Linked DNA regions of Lonchura striata. The protein of the gene in region 3 purifies or fractionates together with the protein of the main gene of each other region. This does not show direct contact. Links are inferred from orthologs where the notes say so. Each region holds a gene or a part of one and is shown on either strand. Other genes may lie near its edges. The genes, in order: MET, PXN, SRC and CDC37.

What was found.
Region 1: the proteins of SRC (region 3) and MET purify together in Homo sapiens (co-immunoprecipitation; 4 studies listed by BioGRID and IntAct, with this or other methods). This does not show direct contact. The link is inferred for Lonchura striata from reciprocal best matches to the Homo sapiens genes SRC and MET.
Region 2: the proteins of SRC (region 3) and PXN purify together in Homo sapiens (co-immunoprecipitation; 4 studies listed by BioGRID and IntAct, with this or other methods). This does not show direct contact. The link is inferred for Lonchura striata from reciprocal best matches to the Homo sapiens genes SRC and PXN.
Region 4: the proteins of SRC (region 3) and CDC37 purify together in Homo sapiens (affinity purification with mass spectrometry; 3 studies listed by BioGRID and IntAct, with this or other methods). This does not show direct contact. The link is inferred for Lonchura striata from reciprocal best matches to the Homo sapiens genes SRC and CDC37.

Annotation. Positions count from the first base shown.
Region 1 is NC_134607.1:34,614,238-34,622,106, forward strand, and holds the start of MET (hepatocyte growth factor receptor), read right to left. Parts: upstream 3,015-7,869; 5' UTR 2,913-3,014; intron 2,735-2,912; exon of another isoform or gene 2,665-2,734; intron 2,330-2,664; exon of another isoform or gene 2,128-2,329; intron 1-2,127. UniProt on the Homo sapiens protein: Receptor tyrosine kinase that transduces signals from the extracellular matrix into the cytoplasm by binding to hepatocyte growth factor/HGF ligand. Regulates many physiological processes including proliferation, scattering, morphogenesis and survival.
Region 2 is NC_134620.1:4,910,714-4,918,148, reverse strand, and holds the start of PXN (paxillin), read right to left. Parts: upstream 3,005-7,435; 5' UTR 2,907-3,004; coding exon 2,894-2,906; intron 1-2,893. UniProt on the Homo sapiens protein: Cytoskeletal protein involved in actin-membrane attachment at sites of cell adhesion to the extracellular matrix (focal adhesion). Recruits other proteins such as TRIM15 to focal adhesion.
Region 3 is NC_134619.1:9,505,586-9,512,988, forward strand, and holds the start of SRC (proto-oncogene tyrosine-protein kinase Src), read right to left. Parts: upstream 3,005-7,403; 5' UTR 2,928-3,004; intron 1-2,927. UniProt on the Homo sapiens protein: Non-receptor protein tyrosine kinase which is activated following engagement of many different classes of cellular receptors including immune response receptors, integrins and other adhesion receptors, receptor protein tyrosine kinases, G protein-coupled receptors as well as cytokine receptors.
Region 4 is NC_134623.1:1,357,855-1,364,967, reverse strand, and holds the start of CDC37 (hsp90 co-chaperone Cdc37), read right to left. Parts: upstream 3,001-7,113; 5' UTR 2,933-3,000; coding exon 2,831-2,932; intron 1,563-2,830; coding exon 1,281-1,562; intron 1,186-1,280; coding exon 1,080-1,185; intron 791-1,079; coding exon 675-790; intron 221-674; coding exon 98-220; intron 1-97. UniProt on the Homo sapiens protein: Co-chaperone that binds to numerous kinases and promotes their interaction with the Hsp90 complex, resulting in stabilization and promotion of their activity. Inhibits HSP90AA1 ATPase activity.

The DNA.
Region 1 (7,869 bases), on a different chromosome or scaffold from region 3:
GGCATGCTGCTTGAGGCAATGTGGCATGACCACCAGTGGTGCATTGCACAGGTTTAATTACCAAACACAACCTTTGCATAGGAAGCAAAATCACTAACTATGGCCACAGCAGACAAGATGCACAGGTTGATGGTTCATCTGAGGGTAACAGCCTAATGAAACATGAAGTTGTGCCACCAGCTCAAAGGACAGACAGTAAGGTAGCAACAGGAAGGTAGAAATCCTGGACATAAGGTTTTCACATGAACCCACCACAAAGGTGGTGTTGCCACCCAAAATCTTAGCAAGGTGTGTTTGAAGTGTCATGCACTGCATGCATTCCTTCTGCTTTGCACCAAACAGATCCTTGTAACCCACTACTGAATTTTGTGTTTCTGTAGTTTCAGAGAATGCTGTTCAACTACCCTATCCCTTTCTTGTTCAAGAAATGATGTATAGTGCTGAAAGAGCCCAAGCAGGATTTCCCTTACACTAAATATTTCACAAACACAGATGGAGATGGAGGACCTCTCCTTGCTTTCTGCCTGAAGCAAATAAAGTCTAGACACATGCCCACCACAAAGCAATCATGGCACAAAGCAGATCACCCAGTGCTCTGTGACTCCCACCGCTGCAGCTCTGCCTCTCTGGCTACCCCAGCACAGCATGCTGCCGGCATCAGGTTCCCTTTGTGGCTGTGAAGGCAAGACTGCTGCTCTTACACTGCAGCCAGCTGTGCCAGTTATTCTCTCGAGCTCTGGAAGCCAGATTTGGGAGGCAGCAGACTTTGAATCTCTCCTCTGAGTTGAAAAATACAGAGCAGATATTTGCAGATCATAGAAGAATAAGAGTAGGCGGGTTTGATTGCATTGGACAAGCAAGAAGAGGTTACAGGTCATCAGCTGAGGTACTAGAAAACCATTAGAGCAGGAGAATCAGGATGGGACAGGCAGTACTGGGAAGACAATACTTGCTACTTAGTTTTGCTTTCATGAGCTTTTCATTGAACCTCTACTGAATTTTGGCATTCTGGCAGCCTTGCTCTGACTCAGTGAGCTCCCATCCATCTATGGCTGCACTGTCATCTACACTTGAGCAAATAACACATCTATGAACCCCTCTCCAGCCACAATATGTGCACTTTAGCTTACCAATAAAGAACTGCTATGCAGTGGTTAACCTCTGAAGGAAAAAAAAAAAAAAAAAAAAAAAAAAAAAAAAAAAAAAAAAAAAAAGTTGAAAGAAAAAAAGAAAAAGAATAAGAAAAAAGAGGGGAAAAAAAAGAAGAAAACATTGGGGGGAAAAAAAAAAGAGAAAAAAGGAGAAAATCCTTAGAGGAAAATAAAGACAATTCATTCCCTCTCCACCAAAAAGGCACAGAAGTTGACTCTCTCTTCTCCAAATAATGAGATGAATGTTTTACAAAATATCCCAGTTTCCAAATGATTCAGTTTGTATTAGAAGACAGAAAAAGAATCATACAGTGCTGAAGAAGGATTATGGCACAAAGAACAAGCGATACAGTCATTCTGCAAGTTACTTTGTTTTCAACATGCAGCTCCTGCCAAAGGCTAGCTTTTTGCTCTCACAGTGTATGATCTGTAAACATTTAACCAGCTCTCTGAGAAACATGTGAGACCCTTGCTTGATTATGAATCCAAACCTCTCAGATCTAAAATAAAAAGACAACAAAAAAGAGACACCATCCTCTTTTTGCTGCTGGACAATGAAAAAAGCACCTGTGGGATGAAAGCAAATGAACTATCACACAGGGCATAGGTTCTTCGAGAAAAGCATGCACTGCCGCTTGAATAAACCTCCTACAGGTTACAAACGCACAGGTTGTTAAACAACACTGGTATTAGATTATTAATGCCTATTGATGTATGTGCAAAACTTCCAATTTCTAAGGAGTGCATTCAGTTTTATAAAGCCTAAGACCACATAATTTAATGCTGACATAGAAACAGTGGTGGAATGCCATTATATGAGCTCTTTGCGATTTGTTTACCGTTCGAAGCAAATTCTGCTTTTAAAAATTGAATTAAAAAAAAAAAAAAACCAAAAAAAAAAAACCACCAAAAAAAACCAAAAAAACAAAAAAAAACCCAACAAAAACCCTAACAATAACAACAGAAAAGGCCATACCGTAAGGAAAACTGTGAACGCAGCGAAACCATAAAGTACACATCCCCAACTTGGGGAATCCCGCAGGCTCACCCTGCGCCTCGCGGAAGGCGGTCGGACCGGCCACCACAAACGCGGAGCCACCGTCTCCAAGTTGGAACTTCCAGGCTGCACTGCCGGACACTGCCCCGCGGCGCGCTCCTGCCGCGCCCGCAGAGCGGGAAGGGGCGGGAGGGGCAGCGGCTCGGGCTGCGGCCAAGGGGCGCTGCCGGCAGCATCCCGGGGAGCGCTGCCCGCCCTGCCCTACCCCGTCTCGGCTTCGCGGGTACGCGGGCGCCGGCGCCCTGCGGAGCCCGGCCGGGGCCGGGGCCGGCCGGCAGCCCCGCACCGCTGTCACCTGGCCCCGCCGCGCCCGGCCCGCCCCGGCAGAGCAGCGGCGGCTGCCGCGCTCCCGCGAAGTTCCCGGGCGGGGCACGGCCAGCACCGAGCCGCTGCCCGCCCTCCTCCTTCCCCGGCTCATCTCGCTCCCCGCGTCCCCCCACGGGTGCCGGTCCTTACCGGAGCGGAGCGGGCTGCGCGCCGGCACGCCGCCGGAGGGGCGAGCGCTGCGCCCCGGCAGGCTGGGCTGGGCTGGGCTGGGCTGGCTCCGCGGTCCCGGCCCGGCCCGGCCCGGCTCGGGCGGGGCGGAGCGGGGCGCAGCCCGGCGCACCTCCGCGGCCCCGCGCCGCTCCGCCGCTCCCTCCGCCCCGCGGGCTCAGGCTGCCCCCGGCCCAGCCCCAGCCCCAGCCCCGCGCTGCTGTCCCTACCTGGGGCGGCAGGGGCTGCGCGCCCCGGCGGGCACGGGCGTCCCTCCTCCCGCACGGCACCTGGGCTGCGGGGCGGCTCTCCGCGCCCTTCCCTCAGGCGCCTCCGCCGCGCTGGTGGCGGCTCCCAGCGGTAAATCAGCCGGTCCCCGCGCTCCCTCCGCCCCTCCGGCGCGGTCCTGACCTGCCTGTGACTCACCACATCGCAGGAGCCCGGGTGCGCGGTGGGGGGAAGGAGGGAGGGGGGCCTCCTTCTCTCGCTCCCCCTCCCCTCCTTTCTGCCCCTCGTCCCTCCCGGCCAGGCCCCCAGCCCAGGGGTAGGAGGGATGGATGTCGCTCCCCAGATGGGGAAAGCCAGGAGGGGACCCTTGGTGGACCTTCTGCACCTCGGCGTTTTCAGGCCAAGTGAGTACCAGTGGTGTGCAGGCACAGCCTCCCTCCTCACTCCCAGCCGCAGGGCACCCATCATCAGGTGTCAGTGCCTGACTGATGCTAAAGCCTAACCCTGAGAGGTCAAGATATGGGCACCCCTAGGTTTGTCCTGAGACCCCCCCTAGGCTGTGTAGTAGTGAACAAATTTAGCCCATATTGCACTATCATGGTGTCAGTGCTGACTGTGCTTTAAATGTCTATCCACATGTAATTCAAACAAATGACCTCAGTTTATATAGACTATCAAGTAGCTGTCTTCCCCCATATGTGCTTCCTACAGGGTAGTAAACTGCACAGGTTGGGGTTTTTCCCTCACAAGGTTTGCAAAGCAGATGATGACTTCATCTTTCAGAGGTGCTGAGAAACTGAGTCACTCAGCAATACTGCCTGTGCAATGTACACTTGTGGAGCTGCCGAGAGACTGCAAGTCTCAACACTGGGGCATGCAGCAAAGATCCATCTTTTTTTCTGGTAACGAGTTTCAGCAGCTACTGATTTAAACCAGATTTTAAGTGAAAGGCTCCATATTCCAATAGAAGTTACTGGAGACATCTATTTTCCCTTTGCTTGCTTCCTTTTTTGGCCCCAACTCTGCTGCCCTTAATCATACCATTTAAACCGATGAACGTTTTTCATGAGTGAAGTACAAGGAACTGTAAGAAGCACTGCCCAGTTTCATGATTAACCATGGGAAAAATGTCAGATCTTACATCAAAACATTCTGTAAGGAAAATTAAATATTGTATGTATTTGTTTTAGGCCTTGGATGTCACCAGGATGTGTACAAAGCTGTACAACAGAACAAAATGTTTTAAAAAAGCAGTTAGCCACCTTTCTGCTAGTCTTCTGCTAGTCTTTCACAATTTATCTGTCTCCTCTTTCCTTTGGACTTGCCAGCACTAGTGATAAAGACATCAAACCTAGCTATAAGCCAGTTCTGTGCAAAAACAGATGCATGATTGAGGGCAGCCTGCCCCCCAGCTTCCCCTTCAGAGGAAGTTGTAACTGCAATGAGGTCTCCCTTCAGTCTCTTCTTCAGACAAAGTGACCTCAGCCACTCCTCATATGGCTTCTCCTCAAGGCCCTTCACCATCTTCATTGCCCTCCTTTGGATGCTCTCTAGGAGCTTTATATTTTCCTTATATTGTGGTGCCCAAAACTGCCCCCAGCACTCAAGGTGAGGCTGCCCCAGTGCAGAGCAGAGCAGGATAATCCCCTCCCTTGCCAGTTAGTGATGCCTGATGCCCTCCAGGACATGGTTAGTCTTTTTGGCTGCCAGGGCACTGCTGACTCAAATTCAGTTTGCCATCAACCAGGAATCCTGGCTCCCTTTCCACAGTGATAGTCTCCAACTTCTTGTTCCCCAGTCTATCCATACATCCAGTGTTGTCCCATTCCAGGTGCTGAATTCGGCACTTGTCTCTGTTAAACTTCATGACTGATGTAATCTCATTTCTTTCAAGTGTCTGGAAATCTGTCAATTTACTTCAATAACCTTTATTTCAATTAATATTCAGCAATAGTTAGGAAAAATAAGACAGTGTGGATGCCCCCCACCCCCGCCCAGGGAAAAGCAAGGCTACAATTAGACTGTGCTGCTTGCTGGGCTTCAATTAGTGATCAGTCAGTCACTGCTGACTGTGCTGTGCACTACTACTGTACGGTGCACCAGTACAGCCACACCAGACTTGGAAGAATCTTCCTTAAGGGTTTTGAAATAAAGTGATAAAGAAAAATATTTAAATCCAGAGCTCATTCTAAGGACAGCCCCTCATATTATCTGTTGTTAGCCTGCTCCTGAGTTCACTGTGCACCTGCCTGGGCTGAGCAGCCAGCGCCCAGGCTGTTATCAGTGGGACAGTCTGTGCTATTCTAAAACTAACAAATGGATTGTCACTAACATAAAAAGGAGAAACAGATGTTTCCTTTCCATTTTGACCATGCTGATGCCATGTTATTTTAGGTTAGTTTTATGAGACAGTTACACTGCACTGAGGCTTTGATAATCATCTGATACTCCTTTCATCATGCTTGCACCATGTGTACACCATGAACAACTTCTCAGAGGCTTGAAGTAGCTTTAAGGTGCAGTTATGGGTGAAAAAGAAACTGACTTTCTTAGTCATCATCCTGGTCTCTTTATAGGTTTTCCTAATCTCTCTTCCCTGTCCAAAAGGAGCTGGTCCTCTTCAGTCTGGCATAAGATGGCGTGACACATTTTAAAAAGCTGACGACACTGGAAAAAACAATTCAAAAGTGTGAAGGAGAGTCTATGAGGGTGATCTGCTCAGTAAGAGAACTGGAACACACTGGGGAGTATATTGGCACATCCTTTCCAGCCCTGATGTGTTTTGAGATAGGAAGCTGGTGAGCAAACCCTATCACATTTCCAAGAATACAGAAATAGAGTTAGAAAATGAATTGCAAGGCTATGTTGAACTTAAACTTTCAAGTGTAAACATGAGGAATGAAAACACAGGATGATTTCTGTACATTGGCAGTAGTGCATCTCAACACACTAATGTGTCCACTTCAGTTTTATGGGTTTCATTGTGACTTCTGTTCAGAACCTGAGAAATTATTTATCATAACTACAAGTAGCAAAATGACGTTTATAGAATTATGTATCCAATTTATACCTAATTTCAGTAAGAAAAAATATATATTTAAATACCTCTGCAAATCTGGATCTAACCACATTTTCTAGAAGTGCAGAATCAAACATAAATCTACTGTGCATTGCTGCAGAACCACACTCTACTACATGGCACCACAGCTATATGGTAGCATCAGAGGATTTACTCTTTGTCCTCTGCTGCAGTCATTCACACCTTTGGGAGCAAATATAAAATGCAAATGTCATTGTGAAGCTCCAGAGACTTCTGACTTAGTGGAGCTTACTCATGAGTAAATGATTTCAGAAGGAGCAAGACAGCGGAAAGGAATTAATTTAATGCTTAAGAACACACAAGACAAAGATCTCTAGAGCTGAGCTTCACAGCGGTGGATATCAGGTACCTTCCTGTTGCAGAACCCTGCAACAGGGACTCAGAATAGCTGAGTCTGAGTATCTCTGGAGGTTGATAAACAAAATAAGAGCCTTAGGTGAACCCACCCAGCTCAACTGCCTGACATACCAGTGATCCAAGGGGAAAATTATAGTGTGACAGACTGCTGGGGTAATGTGTAGCTGTATTTCCTGTAGACCCTTATTCACTGGAAGGCAGCCTGGCTGCAAATGCCAGGGGCAGCTCAGGGAAGGGGCTGTGCCTGAGGCACATTTTCCTGTGACTACTTTGTCCCTTCAAGTCACTCTGACACAATCTGTCTTTCACTGTCTTTCCTGGGCTCAAAAAGCACACAGTGGGAAGGGACACAGTGTTGACTGGGGGTTGGGCTTTGGAGAAAAAATGCCCATGGTGTTGTTTGCCTCTCTGGAAACTGAGCTAAATATCACAATTACTACTTAGATCTCTAGATTCCAAAGATTTGATCATCACTGCATTTTATGGCATTTATTGTCTAGCCATTTATTAACTAAACCCATAGCTTCTGATAACTAAATAAGTACTTTCTGTTTGTTTGTAAGAGGGTCAACAATGTCACTGGAAGAAATTTCAGCCTGTGACTGGTGGTTGCAAAAGTCCCTTGCAAAGCCAGGAATAGAAGCCTGCAGTTAGAAGTTCTAATCTCTAACCACTAAGCTACCCTAGACAGTTCTCCATTTGTATAGAAACACAGATCATAACCGAGGGTGCTTCCACATATTGCACTGTGGATTATAGGTGACTTTTGAGCAAAGGGAAGTTTTTCTGTTTAACTTGATAAAATTTTCCTCCTTGTTTGTCTTTCTGCTTGTAAAAAAACACCACAACTGGGCCATTCTAAAATCCAAATGGTGAATGCTTCAAGTATAATTCTTGAAAATGGAGGAAAATGTTTATGGGGCTATTGCATCTGAAGTCTGGATTGCCATGGCTCTGTGTCCTTTTTGTGCCAGTCCCAAAGCCTTGGTGATCACATGGGAAACTGGTACATGAAGTTCGGGAATCCAGCAAAAATTAATCAGTCAAAAGAACATAGATTAGTTTACAGATAGATTAGCTCTTCAAATCCATCTGCTATGCAGTAATGTGAGTGCTAGTGCTGCAAAAGGACAAGGTCAGAAATCCAGGAGGAGGGTGGGCTCATGGCAGCACAACATTACATCAGCTTAACTGGAGGGAGCACCTCAGCCTCCAGAAGGCAGAGGAAGAGATGGTGTGATTCTCACTGCTCCCCACCTGAACCTTGCCTTCTTTCCTAGTGATTTTGAAATGCATTAAACCCCTGAATGAGTACCTCTGAACATACAAACCCAAGAAATCATTTCAGGCATGGAAAGCTGAACAGTCTTTGTGTTCATGTCCCTGAAAATGATGGAAGTGCAGTAGCCCTTGGTGCATTCACTGAGCTCACACTGCAGCAGCAAAGGCTTTCCAGAACATGCTGTAGAGAACTTTTCTAGCATAGCTCAGCATAAACTGCG
Region 2 (7,435 bases), on a different chromosome or scaffold from region 3:
AATTTAAAGTTTCTCTTCTCCTACTCCTGTCACCATAAATACATAACAGTTTACACAAATTAGGTTTCTTCCTCTGCAACAAGCAAATCCTAATGGATCTGTTCCTTCATACTACTTAGACAAGGTAGCACCACCAAACCAGTAACCCAACATCTCAGTGCCTCAGCTTGTCTGAAGCAAGTATGTGTGGATGATCACTTGTGTGCTGGAAGCACAGGCTGTGCTTTGGCAATCCCCTGAAAGGGACAAGAGCCCCAAATCTGGGTTCTCACTCTTTAGGACAAAGCTGTGCCAATTTACAGCACTGCAGGACAGCAAATTCATTCAGCAAACTTCCTGTCAAACTCCAAGCACATCCGCAAAATGTGCTTCCTCAGAGAGGCTGCAGGGAGACGATCTGGACAAGCCTGGCCAGCTGCTCTCCTCCCCCTTCCCACCACGGGCTGTTCTAGTTTACATCCAGCCCAGCACTGTGTGTCCTGTGCCACAGAGGCTCCTCCAGAACAACAGGGTGCACAGCTCCAGCCTGCAGAAAGTTTCCTGTGGGAGCTTCTTCAACACTGGGGGAGGGGGTAAAAAGGGAACAAAGATTTTTCTCAACTCCAAATGAATCCTCAAAGCAAGACAAATCCATTTTCATATGTTTCATAAACTCTCCAGTCCAAGAACAAAACTGAGATACTTCTGGACCTCCATTTTACATTGGACATGTACAGACTGATCAAATCCTCCAGCTCTAGGAAAAAGAAGGAGATTTTTGACAACAGCAAGGAGTTAAGAACAGACACACCAATGGTCTCTGTTAGGGGTTCACTCATGCCCAGCAAGGCCCTTCACTCACTGCTCATTTCTGTGCCACACAGATTCAGAAGCGAGGTATGGAAGTATCTGAGCTGATTTAACTTGACATCAACTCTGCACCTACAAGTCCCAGTTCAATATCAAACTCCTTTTGGGCCAAAACTGTCCCTGGAAGCAGAGCAGCTTTGCCCACATGGCAGTGTGCCTGAACCAACAAGTCCTGCCTAACCAGCTTGACTCTGGACAGGGCCAGTGCAGACGTCTGTATCCATGGCACAGTTAATCCACAACTCAGATAATCCACCCATAGATAATGAGGAAAGAAAAACAAACAACTCTCACTTGAGTTCGAAAGTCTGACTTATTTCAGGGGAGTTGTATCAGCACAGCACAGTTCCATTATGTGTGATCCCAAGGTGAATGACTTTAGAGCAGTAAGTGAGCCATTTTGGGGCTAACAATGATTTGCAGAGGAAAAACAGCTGGTGTGCTTTTCCATGGTGAATTCTGTACACCACAGAAAAGCTTAGAGAGAGAAAAGGTCACACTTTTTTGTTCAGCTGCCTACTGTTAATTAGATCTTGTCCAGTCTGAAAGGCTGCACAAAAATTGAGACAGACGCAGTGTAATTAAGACTTGATGAAATCAAGTTGCTCAGATTAGAAGGTCTAACTTTTGGTTGTCCAAATACTCTTCAGAGCTCAGAAAAACAAACCAGGCACAATTTCAGATCTTTTTCACAATTTCTTAGCAGTTCACCTCTAATTCTCCTACAGATGAAAGAAAAAATGTTAAGGGACTGCAGCAGCCTATTCCAACAGCTGGAAAGTCACACTACCACGTTTAGGAATGCAGCTCTTGCAGTGGGCACAGTGAGGCTCCCATGGTTTACTGATGGTGAGACACTAAACTGGCTCTACACTGACCTGTATGCTCACCTTGAAGGGCTACCCATCAAGTCAATACACAGACTGGGTGAATCCTGTTCTGACTAGCAATGCATTCCTGAACATGCTAGGAACTCGCACCAAATCTCCAAGAGATAACCAGAATGAGGGATATGAGAAAAGGTAAACAGAGCTGTCTCCACTTGAACAATAACCATGAAAAGAAGCTGCAGTAGAAATTACTTCTGTTCCCACCAAGAGCTACTTCACTCAAGCAGAAGGTCTCACTCCCCAAGGATGAATCCTCCATGGGCACACCTTTCACCAGAAAGCCACGCAGCAGATGGACTCCTTACCCTCTAAGTTTTATCATTAGCCCAATTCAAAGTCTATTTTCTGAAGGTGTGACCACCAGCTTTATGCCATCACCGTAGTATGAGCTTCCAGGTCCAGAAATAAACCTGCAATTTTCTTGGGACTATATGTCAACAGAACGTCTGGTTTCTATTAAAGGTAGGATGGAAGTAACGGATCACAGCCCCTCCCCAGTGTCTGATTTAATCGGTTTCATAAGCGGAACTCAGTCGTCCTAATGCCTCCCAGAGCACAAGGGATTTTGGCAGATCCACACCCTTTCCGGCTTGGTCCCAAAGGACTCAAATTCTCTAGATCCTTCCCTTGAGACCAGTTGCCTGACATTTCTCCATTACATGGTTTCGGGAAACCGTATAATGCAGCACACCTGGGAGAAGCAGAGGGAGGACGAGGATGAGCTCCAAGCGCGGCTGGGCTCCGCTTATCCCCGCAGGGCTCCCCACTCCATACCCGCGCAAAGTTCAGATCTCGCCCAAGAACAGGCTGGAGAGGCTGCGGCGGGGCAGGGAGGAGATGTTTGCTGAAACCCGAGTACGCCCCACGCTGCTCCGGGCACAGGAGCGCCGGGCGCCCTTCCCGGCCGGGACAGCCACCGCCTGCCCTGGCTGCGGCGGCCCCGGGACAGCCCAGCCGCGGGGCCCGGGCGCGGGGAGCCGGGCCGGCCGGCGCGCTGCGCGGGGAGCGACACGTCCCCGGACGCCGACAGGCGCGGCCCGAGCCCCGCGGCGCCGAGGGGCGCAGCGTGGCCGGCGGGCCGCGGCCGCCGCCGCCCGGGGCGCGGCGGGGAGGCGGCCCCCGCCGCGGGGGAGCCCGCGCGGCTCGGAACTCACCCAAGTCGTCCATGGTGCCGTCGTGCCCGGTGCCGCCGCTGCCGCCGCGCCGGAGCCGCTCCCGCCCCGCGGTGCCGCCGCCGCCTCAGAGCCCGCAACTTTCCCGGCCCGCCCCCGCGCGCGCCCGCCCGCGCGCCCCCGCTGCGCGCGCTGCGCGCCGCCCCCTGCCGGCCGCCGCGGGAGCCGCCGGCCCGGGCGCGGAGCGGGCGCGGGGTCGGGGCCCCGCGAAGCGCCGGGCGGGGCGGCAGCGCCCGGAGCCGCCGCCCGGCGTGTGCCCCGGAGAGGCCTGCCCCGGAGAGGCCTGCCCCGCTCGCCGGCGGCCCCACGCGCGTCCGAGACTGAGCGCGAACGCCACACGAGCCCCGCGCTGCTCCCTGCAGGAGCAGGACCTTCCCCAGAGGAATGTCCCGGGGCAGCGATGCAGCCGCGCTGGGCTGGCTGGGTGGTGCGGGAGAGTTGTGCCCCAAAACCTTCAAACATTTCAGAGCCTCAGCTGAATTACCCCATCCCAGGGAAGCTGGGCAGCAGAAACCTTTCCTGAGCAATTTTCCATACGCTGTGGCCACCATAAAGGAAAGTCACCAGCTACTTCTCTTTTGCTGTGTTCAAAGACTATAAGAGCCCTCCTGGATTTCTCATGTGGTGACCTTGAACCATCATTTCCCACGTGTTTTTCCTTTCAAGCCTCTATAAAACAACTCCAAGGCAGCAAAGTCCTCGCTTTGTCTGAGCCACAGCACAGCTCAACCCTCACCAGAGCTACTGTTTCCCACAGTGCTCCAGCCAAGTTGACATGGCAGTAAATGCAGTTGCTCAGCCCAAATGTCCACTTCTTAATCTGATGAGAGATACACCAAAAAATATCAGTGTGGGAACTGCCGAGGATCCAGGAAACATGACTCTTGTAGCTCTTTTCCTTACAAAATTACTACCGAGTCAGAGAATGTTCCCAGAACTGAACAGCACATGTCCTGTTGTTGAGCTGAGATTACAGAATTGTATTTCCATTAAACAGAGACCGTGAGGTCAGCTGTGAGCAATCTCCAGTGCTGCATTTTTCACTCTCTAGGTACAAACATGCCCAGTTTCCCCTGCTAGCACAAGTCAGACATCATTATTTCCTGTGTTAAGTCATGCTTTAATGGGAATTATCGTTAGGGGGGCAGGGAAATATCTCCTCCCTCATCCCAGCCAATGCTTATGAATAGTCAAAAACCTCCAAGAAATTAATTCCAGCTTTTACTCCAAATACAGTTGTCAGAAAATAATGTCCTTACTGAGATCTAAGTACAACACAAATGTAAGTAAAGATTTCATTGCATGCTTCACTATCCATGCCAAAGATTTCACCTGACATCCCCCTTGCTGGTCTCCCTCAGCAAAATGTAAAACATTATTTGGAGGGACTGTTAAAATTTTCTCAAAATCCATCACTGGCTATACAATGACAACATCAGGATGTGCATCCCCAGGTGGAGCAACATGAACCACTAGCGCTGACTGGTCACAGAGCAGATGTAAAGTCATTAGAAACGAGTCCTTTCCTGGGGTCTGTATGTTTCCTCCACCAACATGTGACAAGCATGTGCCACAAGTTGGGTTGTATTTTTACCTCTGCATAAATAAAGTGCCTACTGTGCTCTGTTCATATTGTAGCCTGGTATGCCATTTTTATTTTCAGCTTCCTACTGTGTCCTTTGGGAGTCTGAAAGTGAATGTAAATCAAGAAAGCAGTTTCTATTGTGTCTCAGGGCTGGAATTAAGTTGTCACAGAACCAGTTAGGGTTGCTCCCACAAGAAATGGTTGTGTCTAAGATGGTCAGTGTTAAAAAAAAAAAAAAAAAAAAAAAAAAAGTAATTGTTTCTAAAGCTTTGCCTATGGCTTCTGCACTGCACTGAAAGTGTTGGTGGGGTGGGAAGGCAGGGCTGTCCCATGAGTGATACTATCCTCTAGACAGCCTGCTTTTAAAAGCAAGCTGCTCACAGCCAGGTGCTGTTTATAACTGAATTATTCACACATTGATATTTCTTACTTAAAATTGCCAGTCCCTAACCCTCCCATGAGAGCTGGGGGAGCAGGGGCAGGTTAAAACCCCAGCTGCCAAGGCGACTTGTCAGTGTTGTGGGCTCAAGCTCTGTCCTTCCCAAAGCCTTGAACTCCTGTTTCCCCATCATCTACCTGTTCTTTGGCTCAGACTCTCCCTGACTCACGGACACCTGCTTGCTACTAGAAATACACAGGCCTTCTTCTTATGCTGTGCCCCGTAGCTGAGACATTTTGATCTACCCTTGTCTTTCACATAAGGTGTAACAAGAAGTTACCACCCCCATTTGCAGATGGGAAACAGGGCTGGGAACTGGAAATGAAGTTAGACAGTGAGTTAACATCAACAAAATGTTGAACTTTAGGGCTTCCTGTCTCCACACAATCCATGTTCAGAGTATTCCTAACTCCACACAATCTGTGTCCAGAGTACTTGCTCAAGGCATCTTTCCCTCTTGTTGAAGAGTCATTTACCAGTTACAGACCAAGTCCCTCAAAGGGCAGCTTAACCCACTGACCACACACAAGACCCTCAGAGTTGATGGATTAACTGTCCTCCTGGGCCCTGTCATTTCAGACTGGCTGCCAAACAGGAGTGATCCAAGCTCATTTCATAATACCAGCGAAGAAAAGCATTGTTATTTTCAATCTGTGTCAGAGAAGAGAAATAAAGCTACACTGGCCTGTGAGGCATGTTTAGAACTTACCTGTGCACTTTCCAGAGAGTGGCTTGAAACTGCAGAGCAATGACAGTGCCTTCATTGCAGTGTGTGCCCTCTGTGCTGTGCCACATGAACATCATGCAAGGGGATTTTGCTCTTTCTTCAGGTGAATGCAAGGAAAAAATTTTCAATCAGAGCTTTGGGCTTCAGGCAATAGCAGTAAATCACAGCATGCAACTCCCACATTCGAGGTTCAACTTCATGTTTGTTGAAAGGATCTGCTACAGCAAAATGAACAAGCTTGGTTTCTGGCATAAGATGTAGGACGTGACTTTGCAATGCAGATTGAAAGCACCACACCAAGGCATTACCACAGACAATTCTGGCAGCAAAGATGAGAAACAATCAAGTGATAAATCCAATACTTATCAATACAGTTCATAAGAATCAAGAAATTACCTGAAGTGTATGACTCACTGCAAACTACATATGCCTTTGCTATTTACCAGTGTGGCTTATTCTGCCAAAGGGTAATGGCATCCCTGTGCTTCAGAGTTTGATTTCAATTGATATTTCTGGCAATAGGAACAAATGGGGGGGACAAAGGCAATCTGTGAGGTTTCACTGTCACTCTTGGTCACTGTTGTGTATAATACCCCAGCATGACTGAATGTTATTTTAAAAAATAATAGTAATTCTTAAGAGACTGATGTTCACTACTAAGCTTTCTGTTCTACCGAAGTTTCAAGCAGCTGCCCAGCTCAAGGTCTAACCGGCAGGGTAGGAGCATCGGGATGGCACACGTGGATCTGGTTCTGTGCCCATACAGAGAATGTCAGAGGCAAGCTGTCAGCACCAGGAGGTACATCTCACTCACACAGAGTGACGGAGAGCAGCTGCTCCCAGCTGCAGCGGAGCCTCAGCGGGGCCAGTGTGCAGTGGTCATTAGTCTCCCTCCGTAGGGTCTGCCTAGCTATTCAATTGCTGCAAATTAGGAAAGGATGCAGTTTACTTATATAATAGGAGTTGACACCAGCAGCTGCTTTTTCCAGAGCAAAGGTTTGTGATTTTTTTGACAATAAGGAGCATTTTTCTATTGCATTTTTTTTTCTTAAAGCAAGTGATGTCAATAAAGAACTGCACACAAAATGGAGTTTACAGTACTTAGTACACTAAGTGTTCTCTAATGGGTTTTAGAGGACTCCTGCAGTTGGGGAAGCACGATTCAGACTTTCACTCCCCCTAGATTCCTCTCTGCCTGTTGAGAGGCTAATCTCCTAAGGATTCTCCTCAGCAAGAGCTACTCCAGAAATCTTTCTACAACACCTAAGCCACTCCACTTCCGTTTTCACTGACCGATTCCTTTTTCAGTAACTGAGAAAAAAAGAAAGGAGCTTTCAACGTAGGAGCGCCCTCATTTTATTAAACCGCGGTCTTAGCGGCAGCAAGCCCTGGCAGCGCTGAAAGAAGAGAAGCCGTATTACCTTCCGTGAGAGCCCCCTCCCGCCGCCAGGTAAAGACCACGCAGCACAATACAATCACCGGAGCTAGTCTTAGTCTATTTTTCACCAGAGTATTCAGTCTCCGTAGAGACTGTCAAAAATTGCCAATGCCGACTATATTTCAAGTCGTCATGGCGGGGTATTGGGAAAAGTTTTCAATTAGCAATAATCGCGCCTCGGATTAACCTCATTGGCTACGATACTGCCACTGCGCAAAGCTGACCGGGTTTACCCGCCGCTGCCAGCACTCGCCCCGGGGCCACCGCCAGCCTCACGGCGAGTCCCCCCGCTCAGCTCGCTCCCGCCTGCACGCTCCCAGCTGTGCCCCCCGCCC
Region 3 (7,403 bases):
GCTTTCCAATTTCCCACAGCCGTGCCAGGAGTCCAGTGCTTTGTCCCAGGGATGCCCTGCTTAGACATGCTGGGAGGAGGTGCAAGCTGTTTGCTTGCTCCTACCTCTTCTCTTTCAAGATCTTACAGGCGTTTGCTGGTTGTTTAAATGAGAGGCTGGAGACCAAGTCCTTCAGGTCTCATTAGATAAGAGTTTAGCTCTGTGATGACTTCAAAGGCCGGGCAGGATCCCACACCAGTAACAGGGAGAGACAGATGGGATTTTGAAGACGTGAGAGTCCCATGGTCCATCCCCTGCTTGCCTCAGTGAGTCCAGTGAAATGATGCTGGTTTGCAGGACCTGCCCGTGCTGCTAAAGGCCAACCTTGTCTCAGGATAGCTGATGTCCCCTCCATGCCACCAAGACAGAAGAGGACCCTCTTGTCTTTGCAGCAGAGCCACCACACTGGTTGGTCACCGCAGCGTTCTCCTCGTCTCATCCCCTGCTCCCCAGCCAGGGGCTGGGATGGCCCTTTCTGCCTCCCCTCGGAACCTCCCTGATTTTCCATCACTCTGGCACAAAGTCATTAAAGGGCAGAGCTATCATTAGGGCATCTCCATCACACAGGGAGCACTGCAAGGCCACTAACGATCGAGACAGGGAACATTGGACTTCCCTTTGCTGCTGCTGCTGTGTAGCCCATAAATAATCCTGTCTTGGGCTGTTTTGGTGAAGCCAGGAGGTGTTTAGAGGAGCCCCTGCCCTGCTGCTCCCAGGTCAAAGCTTGGAAGTGAGAATTGACCCTCGTCTCCTAAGCAAAGGTGTTCCTTCGTGATATATCAGCATTAACTGGCTAATGATTACAGAGACACAGCACACAAGCCTCGGCTCAGACACCGAGTGCCACGGTTTTGCTCTGGGTGGATCTGGAGCCAGCTGAAGCTGATGGCTTAGCACAGGTAAGCTCTATGGCAAAGGTGTCTAGAGCAGCCCAACAGTAAAAATAACAGAAAGGATATTTCTTTAAAGTGCAATATTGCTGATGTCATCCTCCATATCCCCTTCCTCACACCTTCCTGGGCAGCCCTGTGACTGTCTGACCAACACTTGCTGCACGGGGGACCTGGGCTCACATTGAGCCACTGGATTCTGAGGGGCATCTCCAAGTCTAGCAGGGACAAAAGGATTCCCATCACTAATGGCTGGATCTTGGGAAGGTTCGTCACGACTCGGTTCTTGCACTGGTCATGCTGGCAGTGGGTATCTCCTTGGCTGAGAGGAGAGCAACAAAGACCCCCAGCACCTCCTCCTCTGGGAGCACCAGATGGGCAGGAGAAAGAAAAATCAAGTCTTTTGTTACTGCCTTCATGCAGTTTCATAGAGCACTGCTGGATATGTTCTGTGCTGCACAGGCAGGAGCTCACCTCAGGGAACCCTGTGCTCTGCACCCTCCACTGCCCCCAGCTCCTAATGCCCCTGTCTTGTGGGACACCTGGCTGCATGTCACATCATGTCCCTTCCATTGCGTCACTTCTGGGGAGCCAGAGGATGGGCCATGGCACACACAGGGAAGCACAACCTGCTCCCTGCCACCTACAACCTTTACTGCTGCTCAACATCTCTGGGACTGGGACCAGGACCACAGTCACCTCCTGGCACCAAGTCCAGGGCTGAGCCCTGGCACACCACAGCAGCCACTGGGGTGAGGAAATGCCAGAGGAGAGTGCACTGTGCAGGGCACAGGGAGGTGGAGCAGATCCCCACTCAGTCCAGCAGGTCTCACACGAGACTGCTCTGCTCCCTGACATGATGCCCGACACCAGAGAGGACCATGCCAGGATCAGTGCCACAAGATGCCAGCCCCCTACCACACCTGTCCCCGTGCACATAGCCCTGTGCAGCAGTTCCATCCCTGCAGGTTGCCTCCTGTGTCCATCCCAAGTGGCCCCAGGATGCAGCACAGCCTCTCTGGGCAGTGAGCAGGATAAAACCTCATCCTGACCCCAGTGTGGCTCAGGGCAAAGCCCACGGTGCTCTTCCATGGCACTGGGGGCTGTGACAGTGGGAACACACCACTGCCACCACTTGCAGCCACGCATGGGGGCCGGATTGCCCAGGCTGCAACGAGGAACTTCCCGACTGGATGAAGTCTTAAATCGGAGAAACCAGAGCTCTGCAGCCCCCCAGCAACTGAGCCAGGCGGGCACAGGAGGGGCACAGCGAGGGGCACAGCGAGGGGCACAGGAGGGGCACGACTTGCCAGGTCCACCAGGGCTGGACACTGGCCCCAGAATCACCGGTGAACAAACACAACAAGGGAAGCGGATCACGAGACATCAAAGCAGGGGGGCGATGAATATTTCATGTCCTGGCCTACATACAGCCCAGCTGTCCCCGCCCTGCGCTCCCGGGGGTCCCCCACAGCCCCCGAGCACAACAAAGGGGAGTTGCAGGCAGGCGGGGCCGCCCCGCCGGACCCCCGCGCCCCCAGCTCTGCCCCGCCAGGCAGTGCCACCCCCAGCCGGACCCACGGCTGACCCACCACACCATGTGCATCCCGCTGGACCCACAGCCGCCCCACTGACACCCGGCGCCAGACCGCCAGCATCCTTGCGGGGATCCGCAGGCAGCGTATCCCACGCTGCCGGACCCACAGCTGCCCCACGGCAGCCTGGGCAGGCTCGGCTGGACCCACCGCCTCCTTGCCGAAGTGCCAGCATCCCCGATCGGACCCACAGCCGCGCCACCGCGGGCAATTCCCCGCCGACCCGCCGGACTGCTCTGCGGGCATCCCATTGCGGGCATCGCCCCGCCGCCCCGCCGCTCCCCACTGCGGACATCCACGGGCAGACCCTGGGCATCCCCCGCCGGATCCACGGCCGGACCCAGGCACCCCCCGCCGGACCCCGCCGCCTGCCCCCGAGCTGGGCAGCCCCGCCGCCGCTCACCTCCGCCTGGCCGCGGACGGGGCCGCCCCGCCGCTCGCCTCCAGCGCTCGGCCCCGGCTTTGTCTCCGCGCCGGGGGCGCGGCCGCCGCCCCCCGCCGCCGCCGCCGCCGCCGCCGCCGCGCTCGGTGCCCGCGCCGCCCCGCGCCGGGCCGGGCTCAGCGCTGCGCCGCCGGCAGCAGCATCGCGCAGCGCCGCGGCCCCGGCGCGCTGGTGCCTCGCCCGCCCCCGCTCACCCCGTCTGCGGGGCGGGGGGCAGCACCACGGGGAGGGGAAAATAAAAAAAAAATAAAAAAAATAAAAGAGTAATATGGCAGCAAACCGGAAACGGAGGATGGGGGGAAAGGCAGCAGCAGCCCCTCCCCTCCCTCCGTGGCTTTTTTTTTTTTCCAGGGAGAAGGCTCCGGGCAGCCGGGCTCCGCGGGGCGCGCACGGGCCAGGGGCCGCCCCCGCCGCCGGCGCTGCCGGCGCGTCCCGGCCCGCGGCGGGGGAACCGCCTGGCTGCGCCGGGGACACGCGTGGGAGCGGCGGCCGCGGTCCTCAGGGCGCGTCCCCCCGCGGGTGAGGGGCTGGGGGTGCTCCCACCCGAGCCCAGCGCTGCTCGTCCCGGCGGGCTGGCTCGGCGTGTTACCTGGAAGCAGGAGCTGGTAACACAAAAGTGATTTTCAGGAGGCTGAAACCTCCTGGCTGGGTTGCGGTTCGCTTTATTCAACAGCTCTAACACACGGCGAATTGCAGGGGAAATGCTGTTTTGTCAGGTTGTGTTCCTCCCCATCCCCAGGAGGGACACCTCGGCTTCCCAGAGGGCTGCAACCCACGTTCCCCCTTCTCTGAAGTCGGAAGGAGGCAAAACTTCAGATGGAAAAGCGGGCAAAGATAAACCACGTCCTGGGCCTCCCTGGGAACCCGGGGAACTTTGTGGGGCCCTTTGGAGGCAGCACGGGCACGCAGCGGTGTCTGTGCTCCGCTGGGGCGTCCATGGGTTTAGGGGTTAACATCTCCCAGCCCCGGTCGCCCCTGAAGCCGGTGCCGGATCCAAAACAAGGCAGAACGGAGCTGCGGGTGTTCCTGGGGAGGGCACTCTCCAGCTGGCAGCATCACCCCCTCAGGTGTGTGTGTCCCCGAGTTCCACTCAGGCAGGTGGGCACGCGGGAACAGTTCCACCCGTCGTTCCCCTTGCTCCTCAGCAGCAGGAGGTGGGAAATGCCCAGCTTTGCCCTGTCTCCGGGGTGCACACACGGGCTCAGGGCTCAGCCGGGTGCCCCGATGCCTGCACCCAGCCCGTCGGGGCTGCCCGACCAGCTCAGCGGCGCTGGCAGCCCTCCCACCTCAGCCACCGGCGATCCATTGAAGTGTTCCCTGTCACGTTACCCTCCAGGAAGAAAGGGGGTGAAGCAGTCCACTCCTTAAACCCACATACATTTAGGTCTTTTATGCGGCACGCTCGGCTGCTGGCCGGCTGCAGCGACCCTTGTATTTCCACAGCCAGCACCACCTCTGCCATCCTTGCCCACCCCTCCGACCAACCCTGCAGCCACTCCGCGGGGGTTTTCTGAAAACCCTCCTTCCTCTGAGGAAGATCCGACATTTCAGAAACAAATTGGGAAGTTAAAAACTTTTAAAGAACTATGGTGGTGATGTTTTTTTTTTTTTTAAATTTCTGTTTCCCACTCCCCCTCCGCCTTTTGAGTTATTAAAAAAATATTTCCCATGACACTGGCGAAGGCCAGCGAATCCATGAGTCACCAGGAACAAGGAGTCATGCACGCGCCGATCCATCACCCGTGGCCAGCGCATTGCGAGGGGCCCTTCCCTGGGAGGAGCTGGCGCCGATAAGGTCCCTCCAGCCGGGCAGGAGCCGCTTTCCCTCTCGGCTCCGTCCCAGGGCTGGGCGAGGCCGCCCGGGCTCCCCGGACACCCGTGGCGTGTGTGCTCCGGGGGGGTGGCAGCCCTGCCTGCTCCGTGCCGGAGCATCCCACCGCAGCCCGCTTGGTTCCGGGGCTCGGGGGTGTTAATTCTCAGCCCAGCCCCTCTGCTGTTCAGCTGTGGAGGGGAGGATTCCTCATCCGCTCTGCGATGGATTCACCCCGTGCTGTGGGGCAGTCAGGGAACTGCTCTGCTTGTAACGTGGGGGAAAGAGGGGGTCACCTTCACCCTGCTGCGCCGCACAGGGACACGGGGACACTCCCCTGTCCCTCCCCACGGCAGGAGCACCCACTCCAGCCCGGAGCTCTGCCGGAGGGGAGAGCACCCCGCGGGTGCTCCAGCCCCGGGCGAGCCGGTGAGGATGACTCAGCCTCTGCTGGATCCAGACCCAAATCTAAGATGCAATTGTGACTTATAAATATTTGTATTTTGTTTTTCTCTTTTGCAATCAACTTCTTTTCTCCAGGCTGTCCTCCCAATCGGAGTTCCCATCTCTGGCGGTGCCGGCCCATGGCTGGAAGGCAAACACCCACAGCGCTGTGCCTTTCAACAGCCAGACCAAGTCCACGACACAACCTCTTCTTCTTCCTCTAAGATGATGCCAATGTGAAAATCCAAAATTACAAACAGACACTGTCTAAACCCAGACTCTTATCTTTTGGTCTCAAATGCTGGAATGTGCCCTCACAAGGCTGACATTAAACACGAATTGCTGGTGATAGTGTGATTTAAGACCATTTAAGCAACACAGCTCACCTCAGGACACTCCTGGCTCGGACATGAGGTCTGGAGCCTGATATCCCCTGGCCACCCACTTCCCTTTGCCTCCTGCCTCTCTCCAAATACTTATCTTTAAGCAGTCTAATGCAAATTGATGCTTTTTTCACCCAACCAGGGATTTCAGTCTCTTGTCCGAAACTTATTTTCTTGATATGATTCTTCACTTTTAAATAGCGCTGATAAAACCCACCCCAGAGAGAGGAAGCGGGTTATAGAAACTGAAAACCAGGTACTTTCAATCTGAACAAAAAGTAGCACCAAGTATTTCCAGTGGCTCGATTATTACAGGACGTCTTGAAATGATACTTGAAAAAGAAATTAAGACATGCTCAGGTATTTCTGTGTTTTCTTGCTGACCTTTACACGAGTTTCATCAGCAACAAGAAGAATGAGAGTTACTGTGGGCAGATGCTGTCATGCTCATGAGTAAGTAAGTAAGTACGTGGCTCCTTCCCTTCCAGGTGTGCAGATCAAACTGCTCCACAGGGCTCCTAAAATCCTCCTGTGAGGTAAGAGGGTGCTCGTTGTGTCCAGTATTTGATCTGAGCCCTGAGCTCCCTAACGTAACTGCAGATTTACAACAAAACATCTATTCATCTCCAGCCAGCTTTATTTTTAAGCATCCCCTTGGCACGCGTGAATAAGTTTTGTCTATTGGATTCTGTTCCTGAGGCTGCACTTTGTTCACTGCAAATTGCAAATACAGTTGCAGGAATTATTACTATTAGTAATGTAATGGTTGTGTTTGAGATGCTGGCCTGAGAGAGAGGCAGCCGTGGCTCTTGCCCTGAGATTTTATGATCATTGAGCTTTACAGCCCTGCAAATAGTGGTGTGAGATGGGAAATGATCAGCACCATCAGCCCTGTTAGGGAAGCTGCAGTTTCAAGCTCAGGAGCTGATTTAGTAAGGGGGATTGACCAGAATAACCCTGCAGCACGAGCCATTTGGCAATATTTCATGCTAGAAATGCTCATTTTGGCCATTCTCTCCCACACTGAGCATCAGAGCTGCAGGAGCCGAGCAGCATCTTGCAGGTTATAGGAAAAAGGTTTATCTGAGAAGAAATTACCAGGAGGACTCAGGACCTGTTGTGTCCCCCATCGTGGTGACAATCTGCTATGCAAAAGGGGCCCTTAGCTCCTGTCAGGAAGTGTCATTGCAAAATTCCCTGGGGGAAAGGGCTGCAGGGGAAACCACTGACTCGGTGACATGCAAATATTTAATAAGGAGGCACTGAGTTCAACAGCTGTGGGCTGAAATTATCTGCATGGTCAATAAAGGCACAACATTTCCTGTCAGGTTTATGACTGATAAAATATGCTTTGGTACAATCTGAATTAAGTATCTTGGAAAAGCTCGTTTGGGCAAAAATCTGACTCGTTTTGCTTCTTGCCTCAGCTCAGCATGAAAGCCACACACAAGATGTTGGCATCTCCCAGCATGGAAATTCTGCTTTTTGGCCAGTCTAGTATCCATAGACAAGGGCAATTCAGAAAAACTCAGGGAAGCTCATGCAGACGAGATTTATTGCCCTGCTTCTGGCTTGATTTGGTAGCAGAGCAATAGGGGACAGCTGGTTGGTGCAGAGCTCTGGTAGCCACCTCCAGGAGACCCTGCCCCAGGGCTGGGATGTTCCCTCCCTGCCAGCACCCGGCTGCTTGCTGGCCTGCCTGCAGCCTGAGCAGGCAGAGCAGGAGCAGACACCAGGGTGTTTCCCCTTAATCATCCAGTCTTGGTCCTTGGAGCGAGGGATGGGCGAAGGAGGCCACAG
Region 4 (7,113 bases), on a different chromosome or scaffold from region 3:
TTTTGGGAAAAGGAAAGAATTTGAGGCTACACCTGTGGAAATTGGGGTGCACACGGCCTCAGGGAGGGATTTTGGGGAGTCCAGGGGGGATTTTTACCTTAATTTTGGTGAAAAACTGCCGGAAGCAAGCCCTGGGATCCACCTTGAGGCTCTTGGCCAGCTCCAGGATGAACTGCATGACGATGGTCTGGTGGGCCACCTGCTCCATCAGCGCGTGTTTCTGGGGGGAAAACGGGGTCAAAATCCCCCCAAGATCTCCCAAAATCCCCATTCCCCACTCGGCCAAACCCCTTTTTGGGTGAGGAGGAGGCGATTTGGGTCAGGGAATCCCAAGTTGGATTGAGGATGAGACTGGGTTAGGTTCGATGCTCTTTAGGAGCTGTTTGATCCCAAATTAATCCCAAATTCCCTGATTTTGTGGGCTCCTCATCCCAGAAAAACCCTGGAGCTGCAGGAGAGGTGTCAACCTCTCTCCCAAGGAAAGGTGGGTGCTTCTACAGGATGATTTTAAGGATCTTTTCCCACCTCTCCTGCCTTGTAAGTCCTCAATCCTCTCGGGTTTTTTTTGGCAGGAAAAACGGGAAGAAATCCGGAGAGATGAGAACAAGGCAGCTCCAGCTTGCAAAAGTTGGGGATTTTAGGATTTTTACCCCAATTTCAGCCTGACTGCTCACCTCCTCCACCTCCAGGTCGATGCACCAGATGACCAGGTAGTTGGCTGTCTCCTCGCACACCAGGTGAGGGTTGTCCGACAGGTACTTCTGGCTGTCGTCCCAGCGCCTCAGCATCCCTGCCACCGGGAACCAGGAGAATTCCCCCTCCTCAGCCGGGGAACAAACCCCAAACTCCGCCTGGATGAGGCTGGCCAGGAGGGCGAGCACCTCATCGTGAAATTTAACCCAATTCCCCCCAAACTGTGCTTCAGCGGGGGGAAAAAAATGGGAAAAAGCACACAAAATCCTCAATTTTTCAGCGCAGCGAGAGGATTCTGGGTTGGTCCCACCACGGGGGGTGTTCCCAAGCTTGGAGAACCCCAAAAAGCGTCCCCCAGCTCCCTAAAGCCCCCCAAACCCCCTCACCAAAGTGTTTAATCTGCTTCTCGTATCGCTCCACGAAGGTTTTGTGTTTCTTCTCCTTCTGCTCCTCCGTCTCCTCCTTCTCCTCGGCCTTCACGTTGAAAACACTCTGGGAATGCCAAGGAAGGCAGGGAATGACTTGGGGGATTTAGGACACGCTGGGGGTGCTTTTTTTGGGGGGTTTTCTCCCCAAAAAACCCGCACCTTGCTGAAGCCATCCTTGCTGAGCGTGTCCACGTTCCAGGGCATGTTCTTCTCCTTCTTCCTCAGCTCCTCCAGCTTGTTCTCCCAACTTTTCTCCTCGTTCCTCAGCTGCTGGGCCTCGGCCTGGAGCTTCTCCAGCTCCCCTTTCCCACTCTCCGGCTCGGCGACTTCCAGCTCCTTCAGCTTCCTCTGGCACTCGGCCAGCTTGCGCTTGCACTCGCGGCAGCCTTTATCCAGCTCCTCCTTCTCCTTCTGGAACTGCTCCATGCGCTCCACGCGGGCCTGGGGCGGCAGGGAAGGAGCTGGGGCGCCTCGCTCCCGGGTTTTGGGGGGGTTTTGGGGGGTTCAGGAGGGGCTGAACCCCCAAATCCACCCCAGGGAGCTGCAGCTTTTCCGTAGGGAATTGGGGAGGATCTGGAATTCTGGCGATTCCCACGGCCCAAAGCTGGGTGTGAGCCCTCGGAGGGGTCGCTGCCCCATCCTGGGACACGCAGGGGGATTTTGGGGGGCTGGGACCCCCCCCTCACCCTGAGGTGATTCCCGAGGGAAGGAGCAGCCCCTGGGCACGGCAGGGATGGAGCGGGAGATGCCGGGGGCAGCGGGAACCGGGAATGGGATGGGGAATGGGGAATGGAATGGGATGGGGAGTGGGATGGGATGGGGCACTGGGAATGGGGAACCGGGAATGGGATGGGGCACTGGGAATGGGGAACGGGCTGGGATGGGACATCGGGAATGGGGAATGGGATGGGATGGGGAGTGGGATGGGATGGGGCACCGGGAACGGGAAACAGGGAATGGGATGGGGCACTGGGAATGGGGAACCGGGAATGGGATGGGATGGGGAATGGGGGAATGGGATGGGATGGGGAGTGGGATGGGATGGGGCACCGGGAACGGGAAACAGGGAATGGGATGGGGCACTGGGAATGGGGAACCGGGAATGGGATGGGGCACTGGGAATGGGGAACGGGCTGGGATGGGACATCGGGAATGGGGAATGGGATGGGGCACCAGGAATAGGAACCGGGCCGTGCCGGGATGGGGAACGGGAACTGGGCCGTGCTGGGATAGAGAACCGGGAACGGGCTGGGATGGGATGAGGCACCGGGAACGGGAACCGGGCCGTGCCGGGATGGGGAACGGGAACCGGGCCGTGCTGGGATAGAGAACCGGGAACGGGCTGGGATGGGATGAGGCACCGGGAACGGGAACCGGGCCGGGATGGGGAACGGGAACCGGGCCGTGCTGGGATGGCGGAGCTCCCCGCGGGGGCTCCAGGGATGATCCCACGGGAATGCGGGGAGCCCCCGCCCCACGGGAGCCCCTGGAGCTGGAAAAGAACAACACCCCCCCCCATTCCCCGTCCTGCGGGAACACGGAGAGCCCCCCACACCCCCGGGCTCCCACGAACAACAGATCCCCAGCCCGTGCCTCCCCCGTCCCTCCGGGAATCCCGGGAATTCCGGTCGCCATGGGAACCGGGCCTCCCTGGGCGCGCCAGGCCCGGGGCTTGGGGGCAGAGCGCCGCGGGCCGGGCCGAGCCGCACCTGGTGGCGCCATCGGAAGAGACTGGCGGTGTCGATGTTGGGGTGAGTCTCGTCCTCGTCGTCCGAGACCTCGATGTGGTCCCACACGCTGTAATCCACCATGGCGCGGCCGCCGCCACCTTCCCTCCGGCCCCCGCCCGCTTCCGCCCGCGCCTGACGCACTTCCGGCGCCGCGCCCGGCCTCGCTCGCCGCCCGCGCCAAGCCGCGCCCTCTTCAAAGATGGCGGCGGATTTAAAGAGACACGAGCACACCCCCCCACACACACACACACAGGCATGCGCCATGGTTTTTACCTGCGGGTGTAAAGGAGTCAATAGAATGAATAAAGTCTTTCAAACTATTTTAAGGGTTTAAGTTGAAGGAAAATCCTGATTTGAAAAGGTTTAGTTAACTAGGAACCCCTACTTTCTATTATTTTAGGATTTAGTTGACGATAAATCCTATTTATTAATTCCTTAAATACTTAAATTGAGGAGGGATCTGTGCTTTCCATCGTTTTTAAGCGTTTAAATTGAAAGAAAATCCTGCCTCTTCAGTGATTTGAAGAGGTTTAGTTAACTAGGAATCCCTACTTTCTATTATTTTAGGGATTTAGTTGAGGATGAACCCAAATTTTTAATTACTCAAATAGTTAAATTGAGGAAGAATCTGTGTTTTTCATCGTTTTTAAGGGTTTAAATTGAAGGAAAAGCCTTCCTCTTCCATGATTTGATGAGGTTTAATTGACTGGGAATGACTACTTTCTATTATATAGGGATTTAGCTGAGGATAAATCCAAATTTTTAATTCCATAAATAGTTAAATTGAAGAGGAATCTCTGTTTTCCATCGTTTTTAAGGGTTTAAATTGAAAGGAGATTATTTATGGGACGTTTTAAGAGTTCCATCAACAGGGCCCCTCGATTTTAAGGGATTTTACAGGGAAAATGGTGTCAAAAAGCCCCAAAACTTGTGTTTCTTGAAGGAAAACCAGTAAAGGGAGGAGGAGGCCTCTTGTGGGGTTAAATTGAGTAGGAATTCCATTAAAAATTTAAATTGAGGCAGGATCCAACATTTTAAGGGTTTAAATTGAGGGAAACTCCACCCTTTTCACCATTTTTATGTCTTATTTTGGGAGGAGACCCCCTTTATCCACCATTTTAGGGGTCTAAACATAGAGGGAATGCCTTTTTCCATTTTTGAGGTTTAAACTGAGGGAGCAAAACCTTTTTTTCATTGGTTAAAAGGGTTTAATTAGAGGGGTTACTTAGGAGGGGAAAAAGGGGAGAACAGGAGGGGAAAAGGGCAGGAAATGTGAGGGGAAAACGTGGGAAATGTGAGGGGGAAAAGGCAGGAAATGAGAGGGGAAATGTGAGGGGAAAAGGTGAGAAAGGTGAGGGGGAAAGGTGAGAAAGATGAGGGGAAAATGGGTGGAAAATGTGAGGGGGAAAAGGACGGGAAATGTGAGGGGTAAAGGTGAGAAATGTGAGGGGGAAAGGTGGGAAATGTGAGGGGGGAAAAGGGCAGGAAACATGAGGGGAAAAAATGCAGGAAAGGTGAGGGGAAAATGGGTGGGAAATGTGATGGGAAAGGAGAAGGAAATATGAGGGGAAGAAGGTAGGAAATGTGAGGGGAAATGTGAGGGGAAAAGGGCAGGAAAGATGAGGGGGAAAAGAGAGGGAAACATGAGGGGGAAAGGGTGGGAAACATGAGGAGAAAAAAAGGCAGGAAATGTGAGGGGGAAATGTGAGAAATGTGAGGGGAAAATAGGCAGGAAATGAAAGGGGAAAATGGGTGGAAAATGTGAGGGGAAAAGGTGGGAAATGTGAGGGGGGAAAGGTGGGAAATGTGAGGGGGAAAGAGAGGGAAATATGAGGGGGAAAAAGGTGGGAAATGTGAGGGGAAAGGGTGGGAAATGTGAAGGGGGAAAGAGTGGGAAACGTGAGGAGAAAAAAGGCAGAAAATGTGAGGGGGAAAAAAGACAGGAAATGTGAGGGGGAAAGGTGAGAAATGCGAGGGGAAAAAGGTGGGAAATGTGAGGGGGGAAAAGGGCAGGAAACTTGAGGGGAAAAAATGCAGGAAAGGTGAGAGGAAAATGGGTGGGAAATGTGATGGGAAAGGAGAAGGAAATGTGAGGGGGAAAAGGGCAGGAGAGGTGAGGGGAAAATAGGGAAATGTGAGGGGAAAAGAGAGGGAAATGTGAGGGAAAAGGGAGGGAAACGTGAAGGGAAAATGGCAGAAAATGTGAGGGGAGAAAGGTGGGAAATGTGAGGGGGAAAGGTGAGAAATGTGGGGGTGGAAAGGGCAGGAAAGGTGAGAGGAAAAGAGAGGGAAATGTGAGGGGGGAAAAGGTGGGAAATGTGAGGGGGAAAAGGATAGGAAACGTGAGGAGAAAAAAAGCAGGAAAGGTGAGGGGAAAATGGGTGGGAAATGTGATGGGAAAGGAGAAGGAAATGTGAGGGGAAGAAGGTAGGAAATGTGAGGGGAAAAGGGCAGAAAATGTGAGGGGGGAAAAGGGCAGGAAACTTGAGGGGAAAAAATGCAGGAAAGGTGAGAGGAAAATGGGTGGGAAATGTGATGGGAAAGGAGAAGGAAATGTGAGGGGGAAAAGGGCAGGAGAGGTGAGGGGAAAATAGGGAAATGTGAGGGGAAAAGAGAGGGAAATGTGAGGGAAAAGGGAGGGAAACGTGAAGGGAAAATGGCAGAAAATGTGAGGGGAGAAAGGTGGGAAATGTGAGGGGGAAAGGTGAGAAATGTGGGGGTGGAAAGGGCAGGAAAGGTGAGAGGAAAAGAGAGGGAAATGTGAGGGGGGAAAAGGTGGGAAATGTGAGGGGGAAAAGGATAGGAAACATGAGGAGAAAAAAAGCAGGAAAGGTGAGGGGAAAATGGGTGGGAAATGTGATGGGAAAGGAGAAGGAAATGTGAGGGGAAGAAGGTAGGAAATGTGAGGGGAAAAGGGCAGAAAATGTGAGGGGAAAAGGGCGGGAAATGTGAGGGTGGAAAGAGAGGGAAATGTGAGGGGAAAAGGGCAGGAAATATGAGGGGAAAAGAGCTGGAAGCGTGAGGGAAATGGCCGAGAGTCCCTCAGCCATCCAGTCCCGGACGGACGCACCCTCCCTGCAAAAATCACGTACAAATTCTGCCTTTTAAATTTTTTAATTGATTTTTTTTTTTCCCATGAAAAATACAAAGAGTCGAGTCCAGGGGTGGGGGCCGGGGGGGTCCCGGTCCCCTCCGAGGGGTCCCGCAGTGCCACCAGGGTGGGCACCTTTTGTCCCCACGTTGGGCCCCCCAAAAATGGGCCGGGGCTGAGGTGGGGACCCCTTATTGCTACTGAACTGGGGGTCCCCTGGCCCCCTCCCCAAATTCCAGGGCTGGATCCCTGGGAGAGGGGGTGGGGGTCAGAGTTTGGGGGGGTGGGGGGTGTGATGGCGGATCTGGACACGGGGGTCGCTCCTAAATATTTATATTAATAATAATTAAAACTACAAGAAGCTTCACACAGGCACGACACAAAAAAACCAGGAGCTGGGATGGGATTGGGGGAGGGGTCTGGGGGGAAAAAAGAGGGTCCCGGGGAGTACCAGGATCAGGGGAAAAAACAGGGAAGAATAGGAAATAAATGGGAAATAAACCACTGAAAAGTGAGAAATTATCCCGACAGCGAAGGGAAAATAAATAAGAATCGCAATAATAATAATAATAACATCAATAATAATTAATAAGAATAATAATTAAGAATAATTAAGAATAATAATGACGATAAAGGAGTATGGGGGAACTCAGGGTCGGGGCTTTTGAGGTGGGGTTCCGCCCTTTTTTTGGACAGGAGGCTCCAAGTGGCCAAACTCCAGAAAGTGGAGTAATTTGGGGCAAAAATTGCCCATTTTGGAGAATTTGGGAAGGGAGAGGGGGGAAGTGTGACAAGACACATCCTCTCCCTCCCAGATTTGGGGGTACCAGAGGAATCCCTGGAATTTCAGTGCCACTGACCCCCCAGAACTTGCCTTGATCCCTCTTGGGGTTCACAAGCTGCTTCCAAGGAACTCGGGGAGCACAAAACAGGTTCTCACCCTCTCTGGAACGGCGATTTGGGGGATTTTGGGGGATATTTTTAATATTCTGCTATAAAAATAGATGGATTTGGGTCAGCGGCTCCCGAGGAGTCGCCGCTCCCTGCGTCAGTCACGCTCCTCCTTACCTGATAACGGGTAACAGGTCTAATTAAACACGTGGTAAATCCTTATTTTTTGTTCTTTCTCCCCAAAAATTCCTCCCCCTCCCCCAGAAAATTAAGGGAAAAC